3 linked regions of the Neodiprion lecontei genome follow. The protein of the gene in region 1 binds, or shares a complex with, the protein of each later gene. Links are inferred from orthologs where the notes say so. Each region holds a gene or a part of one and is shown in the gene's direction. Other genes may lie near its edges. The genes, in order: NADH dehydrogenase [ubiquinone] 1 alpha subcomplex subunit 13, uncharacterized protein LOC107221970 and NADH dehydrogenase [ubiquinone] 1 alpha subcomplex subunit 8.

Region 1 (3,912 bases):
AATGCTATAGATAGAAAAATACACTGTCTTAATGACAACAATAGCAATATAATAAAGGGCATTTTACAACTATGTATTACATGTAATTGTAATAGTAATAGTAATAATAGGATGGGTCATTACTTATTATACTGACTTGTAATCATATGCAAACAGAAGTTGATGCCTACTAGGGAAAGCGTGATGCAGTAGAGTGGTCAGTAAATTTTTACCGCAACCGACTGGTGAAAACTTAAATGAAAATGACCACGTCCTCATATTCTGAAATCTCATATTAATTACTACATTTCATCACACAGCAAGAATACACGTGTATGCATAGTATATAACACACAAACACAGACAAAGTTAAGGACCAGAGATAAATCACCTTGCAGACGATGAAGATTCCTTCTACTTTGGAAGGTATCGTACTTCCTGTATAGAGTCGTCTTTTTTTGTCACCTATGATTATATAAATGTCGTGTATATTTGACAAACATGTGTCTGTATATCCGCACAGATTATTTTGCTGATAAGTTACATCCTGAAAAGAACATTATTGACACTATTAATAAAACTAACCTCAGAAGAAGAAGACTTGTCAGCTATCTGGTCAGTTGTTCAGATATTTAAACAGATGGCATATTATAAACCATCTGCTTTATGAAAACTACACTGAGAAGTACTTAATTAAAGATATTGGTTCAACTGTGCATGCAATTTACAATTAGTTACAGATTTTATACAGAATGTCTTTCCATGTCATCCTTGACCAAACTAGACATTATGACTGACTAACGAGAAAGCTGCTGATACGGAAATCTAAGGGACTAATTGATATAAAATGATCACAACTTGTAAGCTAATTATTTTATGTATTTGTTGATCATTCCTAACATTCAGGGGTTTTTTATCAAACATGAATCATGAAAAACATGAGTACACATTAAACTATTCTGACAATATCTTGTATTAATGCCCGCCTTTAAAATAACGCCATAAGAATCCACGTCTGTGCAACATCTGCAAATAATTTAGCAGATTTGAATGAAACAAATAAATTTGAATATTTTTACCTCGCTATTGGTATCGTCAGTGGTGACGAAACTGAGCTTGAAATTTGTTACTGACAATATTCCGGATATTCCTTGGGTCAGATCGCCAACAGGGGCAAACATCAATACATTTTGTGCCTTTGCGATGAGAAGTTCACCAGCGAGTAGCTTCATGCTATTTTCAGACAAAGAATCCCGATGGCTTGTACCGAGCAGCTGAAATCAACAGTGAAACGTGAAGGAGTTTAGGATGTTTACACAGTATTACTTGATCAAATTCCAGAGCAAAATATCACATCTAGTGGTACTTCTAGGTTAAGTTCAAGTATTTACATAGTCATTCTGCACCATCTAATTACCAATTGACATATGAAACGCGGTATTTATTTTCGGGGTAAACATGAAAATTATAGAGGCCTACCTGCATTTCGTGTTGTTCGAAACCGACATAGCTGATAAAGTTGTTGCCAGTTTTGTTCTCCATTGTAGCAAGCTGCTAGCCGCTATCAAAGGAGAAAAATATCCGCCTCAACGATGAAAATCTCCGGTCAATCAATTTGTCGGTGGTATTTTAAACGTCAAAGGAACTTTTGAGGCGGGGAAAACACGCTGTTTGACATATTTCAAGGGAATTGAGAATGGCAAGACAGCAACGATGCGAAAAGGGAATTTGAAAAAAAAAAAACCAAAAAAAAAATTTCACCGAGGTTCTGTGTTGATGATGAATTTCTGATAACGAAAACTCAAGATGTATAATGAAATGTATGTAATACTGTCTGCTCAATCGCTGCTGCCTTTAATCATCGTCACTGATAGATCTCTGCAGAGGGCAGCACTAACTGTAACAAGGCCGCGATTTTGGAACGACACGCTTGTCCCGGTTTCCTCGCTAACATTGTTTAGTACGCCGTGGTCCAAGAACGGTGTTGGTGTTGAGTGCCACTGCTAGTGCGACATGGCGACCGCAGCCAAAACGACCCCGCAAGATTTGCCGCCGAAGGGCGGATACGGTCCAATTGTGACCGAAAGGACTAAATTGCGGTCCATTTTCAGCGGTACAGTATCACTCGACTTGCATCAATTCAAGTCACGAGTCACAGTTTCTCAGCTGTTGCGATACTTGGTTATGTTATGTAACTGGAGGTTCGATTTAACCTGCAGATGATTAGTTGTTCTAATTTATGTCCTTAGGTCGGTCGATGATACTTGGATATTTCGCTGTCACGTCAGTCTCATTCTACATTTACTTTAAGGGCTATAAAGTCATAAAAAAACATGAAGTTGAAATGAGAAGCGCCAGAATGGTCATGTTCCCTCTACTGCTTGCTGAACGGGATCGAGAGTATGACAGTTTAATCGACTTGGTTTGAACAAGTTCTTATTTCAAAACTTTTATCTTGATTGCGGTGTTCCGACTTTCCAGATATTTGAAGCAGCTGAGACGGAATCGTGACTCTGAAACGGAACTTATGAAGAACGTTAAGAATTGGGAGACTGGAACGTACTATGGAGAGCCTATTTACAAGACGGCCAAGAGCAGTAAACTGATAGATCCTGACTGTCTTGAGTATTACGCTTTTGCTTCAGATAAAGATTATCAGGACCGTGCTGAAATCTCATTGTGGACTTAAGTTTAAAACCCAAAGTAGATTCCAGAGAGATTCACATAATGATATTTTAGTGCTGATTGTAATTCTTACATGTGTTAAATAAAATTGTGTATGATGGAAACAACGCAGAGTCTTACGAACATGTTTGATAACTATTGTTCATTTTTAAGATTTGGGAATATTTGTGTCGGCAATTAGACTTTTGTAGTTATATATTGTGAAATGACTTTTGCTAAACATTGACGTCAATTTGATTGAGAAATCCAAGAAGATTTTGTGGAAATTTGGCATAGACTAGAAAATTTGACGAAAATAAGCACATTGAATGTCATATCTGCTTAGTTCTAGATTCTTAGTTCGGCTATAACTAGTCTACAAGTGAAGGTGAATAACTCTGCTTTATAATTTATGTTATAAATATAAATATAATTTATAACACGACTAACATATTTAAAAAATAAAAAATTGGAATAGCATTTCTAGAATTATTTAAGATTGGATTAGAGCATTGAAGTACATATTTTGAATTGTGTAGCAGTGCCTAAACAGTGTTTATAATCCGAAAATCGTGAGAAATATAAGCCTATCATCAGCCAACTTTTGGAAACGAGGAAGCTGAAACGACATATTTGAGTGGTGTCCATTATGTCTTCCCGCAAGTTTCAAAAATAAATCATACATAAAAACGTTGAATTTGTCATTTTTTAAATGCTGCCCAATCGAATATGCTTCTTCCTACACTTCCAAATAAAAAGTCGCGTGGAATTGCGTCGAGCGTCGCTATGGAGACAATGCTTTGTTAGTCATGTTAGTGTTTCTTCGGTACGGATTCGCGGTGTTTTTCTCTCAAATTTATGCAGATCTCGTCGGACTTTGACGGCATGTGTGATGGAGGGATCGAGGACAATGGAAGAATGCGATGAAACTTGTTCCTCAAAGCAGGATGGCGTTGCTGAGATGCGACCGGAAAGTCGCTGCGAGGATCAGCACCGCTGGCAGACTGTGACGAATGATTCGTATCAGGCCCCGTTGCCCAACCTTTCGCGAACATTGGGTAACACTTCAAGTTGCTATTTTCCATTCGTAAGACAGTTCAAGACAGTTTAAGGTCGATTTCGACGTTGTCATATATATTTTCAAATATCGAAGTCCACGTATATCAAACGCGAAACGGGGCTTAACAGAACCATTCCATACACAATTTCAAACAAAAACACTTCGATGCATTTTCATCCGACGCAGAAATAAAGAAGTAGCATGGATTC
Region 2 (2,635 bases), on another chromosome or scaffold:
CGCGATATTTAGAACAGGTGAAAAACTAAGTATAGGCAATTTAGAAGCGAGTAATTTAATCGAGACATGCGCCCTGTGTAGGGCTCAGCTAGACACAGTATTTACGAACACTTCTTCTCTGCAGGCCACAGAGTTTTCCAAATTGATATCTGCAGAAGGGCCAAAGGGTAATATTGGCAAAGCCGCGTTTGAGCTAAAAAAATTTCCTTGTGTCATCGATGCAGCTGAGAATGTACCTTTACGTGATTCGAAAAATTGTGACAACTGTAGCTGTAGCAAAGGCAAAGAGAAATTTGAAATGTCTGCCAAGAATTTTGAGAAGTACCTGTGCTATGGGTGCAGATTAATATTTAAAGATCTGGACAAGCAACACAGCATTCCGGACTTTTTACAAAACTCCGTAAGGCAAAGAATATCTTTAGATGATATGCGAGAGGAGATAGCAGATTTTTTATTGTGATTAAAATATCTTGTTCAATAAGTTCGTTGTAAATAAACTATATCCATACCAAATCCTTGTTTGCTCGTGACGAGAATTAGTAGTAACAATAATTCCAAGTATTGGCGTTACTAATCGGCTGAATGACGGTAAAAAATATTTCTTTGCTCATAATTCAATCTGAAGCAGATTATTTATTTTTACAACTACAACTTTATACAGCTTCTGCAATGAGTTAAAAAAAAAATGATAACATCGTTAAGATCCTTCAATTTCTTCACAGTCTGCATTGAATCAAATTTTGCATGTAAATGTGAACGCGGTTTTCCGAACTGTGCTGAATGCAAATGCCGTAAATGTAAATCAGGACTTATGTATAACATATAAAACAGAAAATATTAACAATGTTCGAACAAGATTTTTTTTCACGTTTATATTATATCATGCTGAAATGCTTAGTTTTTTTATTGCTTTCGTAGAGTCTATTCTTAGGCACTATCTTCGAGAGTGAAAAAAGGAAAAAAACTTCGAGACATGCAGGTTCTAGTTTTCCACAGAGTCTTCTAGTGTGAGCTATTATATTATTTTGAATTCCACGAGCTTCCGGTGCCAACCGATGAGCAGAGCTAGTGTCTCTATAGCACGTCTGTAGTGACGTTTGCTATATTCGGAGAAACCTACGAAGTCAACGGTGAGTTTTTGCAATAAGTTGATACAAACTAATAAAATATCCCCGAACAATAAGATGGATTTATTACGATGATAGGATGCATTTATCAATCTTTTTCATCACAATTCACTTTGTTTATCGGGGTTATATAAGTTGTTGCATAAGCTCAGATACGTTGTTGAGGTTATGTTTTTCTTGCAAAATTCATCACGTTTATTCGGTTTCCTATTATAATACGTGTTATTCCTATTATAATACATTGTTCATTTGTCGTATAATCAAATAGATTGTATTATTTTTATTTCAACAACTTCTGAAGAATGAGCAAAACATATTCTTGTCATTGCTCAAATAACACCCTACGATTTTCTAATTTATTTTTGTACGGTAGTCGAATATTGACTCAATTTGAAAAAGTTTATTCATAAGGTTGCGGATCTGATAGTCATTCAGTTAGTTTCCTCGAGAATGTTTCTATATATCAGCTGTACACTACTTACACATAATTGACGTACAGGTTGTTGATATATTAATGAATTGCAACAATTTCAAAAGAGAGCCGAAGGTTTTAAGAAGCGAGGTACGAGTTAAATGAATTCTATTTGAAATGCCATTTACCGGATGTCATATGTTTCAGAGTTTCAATCATGGATTTTGCTCCGGCATTCCGCACACCCGTCATGGACTTGACAGGGTGTCTTATCAATGCTCAGCAATCGCATAGATGTAAAGATTACGAGCTGCATTTTTACGAATGCATGGAAGCTTATGGAATACCAAAGGGCTACAAAAAGTGTTCCGACATGTTTGAGGATTACCACGAGTGCTTAACACTTGGTAAGCAAAAGGCACGTGTCCAAGCCATCGCACAAGAGCAGGCTCGCCAATACAAGGAAGGAATTATTCCGAAACCGTATGCTGATCCCCCCAAAAGAGACAGCTATTGAAATCTAAGTATCAACATTAATAATGCTTAATCTGTAGTACTTGGCTTATCTGGAATAGACATAAAAAAAAAACATAGAATGACAGCTCTATACCGTGTCATTCGTTTCTTTGATAATAAAATTTATTCCTACCTAAGTAAATTCTGTTCGTCTTCCACTTCAGTTGCACCGTCAAAACATGTATATCGGGGTGTGAAGTAATATTTCTACAAAAGATACATCTCAAATACCATTTCAAACGAATATTATTGTTACAAATACGAAAAATTGACATACATTTTCAAATATTCATAATGGAAAGAGTAAATATTCCATTCTTCACTAAATGCCACCACACATTATTCCATTTCGGGAAATTCGGAAGATGAAAGCTTGCCGATTGGTTGATCACTGAAGGCCGAAGTGTTAACAAAGTCAGGATGAATACATTACGATACTTGATTGCCGGAGTAGTCTTCGGTAAGCCGTTCAAGGACGTAAACCAAAACCAATAAAATTTTCAAATCAAGAGCCTTGATCAAAACTAATCAAAACATCGCACTAGTTACATAACGGACAGTAAAGTTAACGTCTAGTGTC
Region 3 (3,600 bases), on another chromosome or scaffold:
AATGATCGAAGTACTGGAGGAAGGAAAGTGAAGTCTTAGAATTGTTGAGTTAGTATTAAAATGTTGAACTCACTCGTACCGAGGAATGGTAGATCGAAGATGAGGACTGACCGACGAGGGGGGATTGCCCTGGGTTAATATCTCCTACGTAGAAGACTGGTCTTGTTGCATTCTTCAGATCCTGTTCGTAGAATGCAAACTAAGTAAGACATCGTTTGGTTGCTTTGCCAATAGCAGATCAATGCGTGGCTTGTGATCATTGTTGTGTCTAATTCGATTTTGCTGCTTTCTCTATTTTTTCCCCCTTCCCCGAATGATGAAAAAAAAAATCATGACAAATTCAGATCCAAGAAACCAGAACCGAAATTATATTAATTGTTAGGAAGTAATAATGAGCTGGTGCTATTGTTAGTCCATGGCTACGCGTAAAAGCATCTAGATAAGTACCGTGACAATAAACTTATGTTAGGCAAAGAAGGCTGAGCCTGCCGCTGTAGGCTAAAGGTCAACATAGTCGTAAATATTCGTAGATTACAATTGAAAGAGCACCAAGCGTGAAGAAAAAAAGGGAGGCATAAAAACCAGCCACAAGCTAATGATATCAAGAGTTCAATTCAAAATTGACCACTTTAAGGGCGCAAAAATATATAGTAATAAAACCAAATTACTGATGGATATTCATTGGTATGATAAAACTCAGAGTCCAACAGCAAATGCTTAGTTTAGAACTTGTTATTATATGCAAACGATTATATGATCTTCAAATACTTTCTCTGGGCTAGTTCGTTAATTACAGAAAAAAAAACAGCGTAAATTTACAGGAAAAGAAAATTGTTCATACAGAGTCGATAATGAATACACTTACCTGGTAGCCGTACTCTAATTCCGTATAAGACATATCAGAGAAGTCTCTTTCTTTTTCTCGCTGTAATTACATATCATATGACAAGTGGTCAGTGTTTCTATTAGAGTGAATACACATTCTTATTTCTGTAATTTTTGCAACACTTAGCAGTTAGTCTGTGAATTTGTTACCAACTAATCAAATATTTGCATTGACCCTGAGCATTGAAACAATTGTCAGTTACAACATAAAAAAGCCATAACATTACAATCTGTACCCAAAATTCACTGAAGTGAGTTGAACGCAGTAACAATAACTGCGATTCTGACAAATAAATTATTCCTAGAGTCTAGTTATCTTTGTAAAGAAAATTTGGCTGAAACTTATAAGGTTGAAACATAAAATACTGATTTCCAATTTGAGGAAATGATGGCAAAGCTGGAATATTGACAACAGTACCGGAGCTGAAGTAGGTAACACTGTGTTTGTACCTGAAATATGAAGGAACGAAAGTATTTCTCATTTGAATATAATTTGGAGTGTAGCAAGAAAGGCGCGGTGTGATTCGAAGTTGTCAGTTTCTACCTAGCACGCAGTAGTGATAATCTGATTATTTTATGTGAAGCTGACAGCCATATCGCGTGTCATACTTCGATGTGACCAGCTGGATTTTGTTTATTTCGTTATATTTTACTGATTAGCGGTCCAGAGTTGCCCGTCCGGGTTACGAAACATTGGTGTACACAATTATTTGATTAGCATAAGTATTTCATCACCTACTTCTTCCCTCTTCTCTCGACGCGACCAACGAATCGACGAAATTACTGCAATAACGTCGCGACAACGAATCCAGTAGACGGCGAAGTGTGTGCTAAAAATGAGTCGGAATCGGTTATTTTTCGTTTAAGAGTTGTCACATCTGTCTCTCAGCTGTTCGACCGGAGTTTTGGATCTGCGCTTGCGTCACTTGCGTTTTGCAGTTTGCAGATCTAGTGAGCAGGTCGAGGGGGTTTTATTTGTGACATTCGGGTTGTTGCACGGATTCTTGAGGATTCTGAAAATAAGTTAATTAAGTTATATAGAAAAGCGGCCGCTAACCGATACAGAGGTACGAAATGGTTATCACAAGTTCAACGTACCTGCCTTCCGAAGAGGAACTGACTGTTGAGGAGGTTAACGTTGGTACAGCATCTCTGCGCGCCGCAGCTTTTCATATGGGCAAACATTGCGAGCACCACAATAACGTAAATGAATATTCAATCTCACGTAGCTCGGCTGATTCATCGACCCATCGATACTCCGAAATTTCAATTTCCGACTCAGGCTCAGGCTGTTTTTTGTATCCCAAATAACTTTCCTCCCAACGTTACTAGAATTATTATGTAATTTATGGAGCATAGAAATAGAGTCTACGATCCATTATTCTCAAATAAAACAAATTTTCAGTTGGCTTGTTGTTTTTGATGATGATTTGTATCTTCTGGACCAGATATTGATTGTAAGCATCAATTCTATGGATAAGTAACCTCGATTTTCAATGCTGTTTGTTCTGTCCAGGAATTTATGTTGTGCCGTCAAGAAGAGGATGATCCTAGAAGTTGCTTGAACGAAGGCAAAGCAGTGACTGCATGTGCTCTGGAGTTTTTTCGCAAATTAAAGAAAACTTGTTACGATGAATTTACTCAGTACGCAACCTGCCTGGACAAGAGCAGCGGAGATATGGCATTTAATCGGTACTTTATCTAGACATCATTGGCTGCCATAGCAATTAGAAGCATTTGTTTTCTTTCTCGACAAAGCAATTAAAATCTTCCTCGTTTGTCTTTTCAGCTGTCGGTTGACACAAGCGGTCTATGACAAATGTGTTTTGGATAACTTGAATATAGAGCGGCCGTCCTTTGGATATTTCTGCGAAGTAAAGGTCCATGATTCACCCAGGCCCAAGCCACCACCTGAGCCCAAAGCAGTTTACCCTGATGCTGCGCCAAAGTTACCGGATGACGCCGAACGCCTGCCAGCACGTTTTGGTGCAAGATCCATATTTGGAAACTAAATACACATAGTATGGAATCAATTTCTTATTAACTATTTATAGAACATAGTGGACGGATTGTGTACTATATCATATCGTAGTGCTCAACTCTTGTGTACAGGAAATGTGTAAATACAATCTATACCTGTACTATAATTTTATTTCCCATTTATTTGTGACGGTATATTGAAAAAAAAATCTTGCCATATTTCCTGTAAGGGGAAGATGATCCAAATGAAATTGAAACTCTAATTTAGTTTGTACATTTGGGATACATTCGAGAGTTTGATTAAAAATTTCCATACCTACTTGAATTTTAATGGATCCTTGGACAATTTGTGATGTATTCAAAATTTGAAAAAAATATAAATTATTAGTGGTAAGTACACATAGGTATGTCTTTCTCAATTAAAATTGGCTATGTATGAACAGAGCATATGTTAGTTAACCTAACAATTATTTTATGGCTGACCGTTGTATTAAATATGAAAAATGTTCCGTTACATGCCTTAACAACGGAATTGCGATAAATACGCCTTCAGCTGCTGTTCTAATATGCTGAAACTTGTTAATGTAATTAACCACCAATTACAAGCATATTAATGAAATTATTCTATAGCTAATCATTGCTGATTCCAAAACATATAGCAGGTTTCAAACAATCTAAATTCAAAGTCAATGTTCTCAAGGTAAAATAGAATATGTACAAATTCATTTTTCAGGT

What was found.
Region 2: the proteins of NADH dehydrogenase [ubiquinone] 1 alpha subcomplex subunit 13 (region 1) and uncharacterized protein LOC107221970 are in contact, whole or in part, in a cryo-EM structure (PDB 8ESZ), measured with the Drosophila melanogaster proteins. The link is inferred for Neodiprion lecontei from reciprocal best matches to the Drosophila melanogaster genes ND-B16.6 and ND-15. Residues at the interface, in NP_001284943.1 of Drosophila melanogaster: Leu79, Glu82, Arg83, Glu86, Phe87, Gln90, Arg93, Glu97, Glu98, Leu101, Met102, Asn104, Val105, Trp108, Gly111, Thr112, Trp113, Glu116, Pro117, Val118, Phe119, Lys120, Thr121, Leu122, Thr129, Pro130, Ile131, Phe132, Lys133, Glu134; in NP_001162841.1 of Drosophila melanogaster: Phe30, Lys33, Asp52, Leu53, Ser55, Asp56, Glu59, Cys60, Met63, Lys65, Gln66, Leu67, Met68, Arg69, Phe70, Ala72, Met73, Arg74, Glu76, Arg77, Gln80, Glu85, Arg86, Phe92, Ala93, Asp94, Pro95, Pro96, Arg97, Val98.
Region 3: the proteins of NADH dehydrogenase [ubiquinone] 1 alpha subcomplex subunit 13 (region 1) and NADH dehydrogenase [ubiquinone] 1 alpha subcomplex subunit 8 are in contact, whole or in part, in a cryo-EM structure (PDB 8ESZ), measured with the Drosophila melanogaster proteins. The link is inferred for Neodiprion lecontei from reciprocal best matches to the Drosophila melanogaster genes ND-B16.6 and ND-19. Residues at the interface, in NP_001284943.1 of Drosophila melanogaster: Arg63, Asp64, Ile66, Glu67, Met68, Ser70, Ala71, Asn73, Val74, Ile75, Phe76, Pro77, Ile78, Val80, Ala81, Glu82, Arg83, Asp84, Arg85, Phe87, Leu88, Arg89, Leu91, Arg92, Arg93, Arg95, Val110, Gly111, Val118, Glu124; in NP_001163296.1 of Drosophila melanogaster: Val2, Ile3, Thr4, Asn5, Asn6, Thr7, Thr8, Leu9, Pro10, Glu11, Glu12, Leu15, Asn16, Val17, Gln18, Glu19, Leu20, Leu27, Arg28, Ala31, Phe32, Leu34, Gly35, Asn42, Phe45, Met46, Arg49, Asp54, Pro55, Arg56.

Annotation. Positions count from the first base shown.
Region 1 is NC_060262.1:19,822,496-19,826,407, forward strand, and holds NADH dehydrogenase [ubiquinone] 1 alpha subcomplex subunit 13, read left to right. Parts: upstream 1-1,931; 5' UTR 1,932-1,992; coding exon 1,993-2,092; intron 2,093-2,228; coding exon 2,229-2,379; intron 2,380-2,460; coding exon 2,461-2,668; 3' UTR 2,669-3,340; downstream 3,341-3,912. Other genes in the region: myotubularin-related protein 10-B, read right to left, coding at 137-261, 371-526, 1,059-1,253, 1,459-1,521; uncharacterized protein LOC107227562, read left to right, coding at 3,356-3,701.
Region 2 is NC_060260.1:32,705,213-32,707,847, forward strand, and holds uncharacterized protein LOC107221970, read left to right. Parts: upstream 1-1,756; coding exon 1,757-2,056; downstream 2,057-2,635. Other genes in the region: cytoplasmic tRNA 2-thiolation protein 2, read left to right, coding at 1-460.
Region 3 is NC_060263.1:14,711,556-14,715,155, reverse strand, and holds NADH dehydrogenase [ubiquinone] 1 alpha subcomplex subunit 8, read left to right. Parts: upstream 1-1,829; 5' UTR 1,830-1,959; coding exon 1,960-2,088; intron 2,089-2,401; coding exon 2,402-2,577; intron 2,578-2,674; coding exon 2,675-2,897; 3' UTR 2,898-3,032; downstream 3,033-3,600. Other genes in the region: inositol hexakisphosphate and diphosphoinositol-pentakisphosphate kinase 2, read right to left, coding at 74-181, 866-898.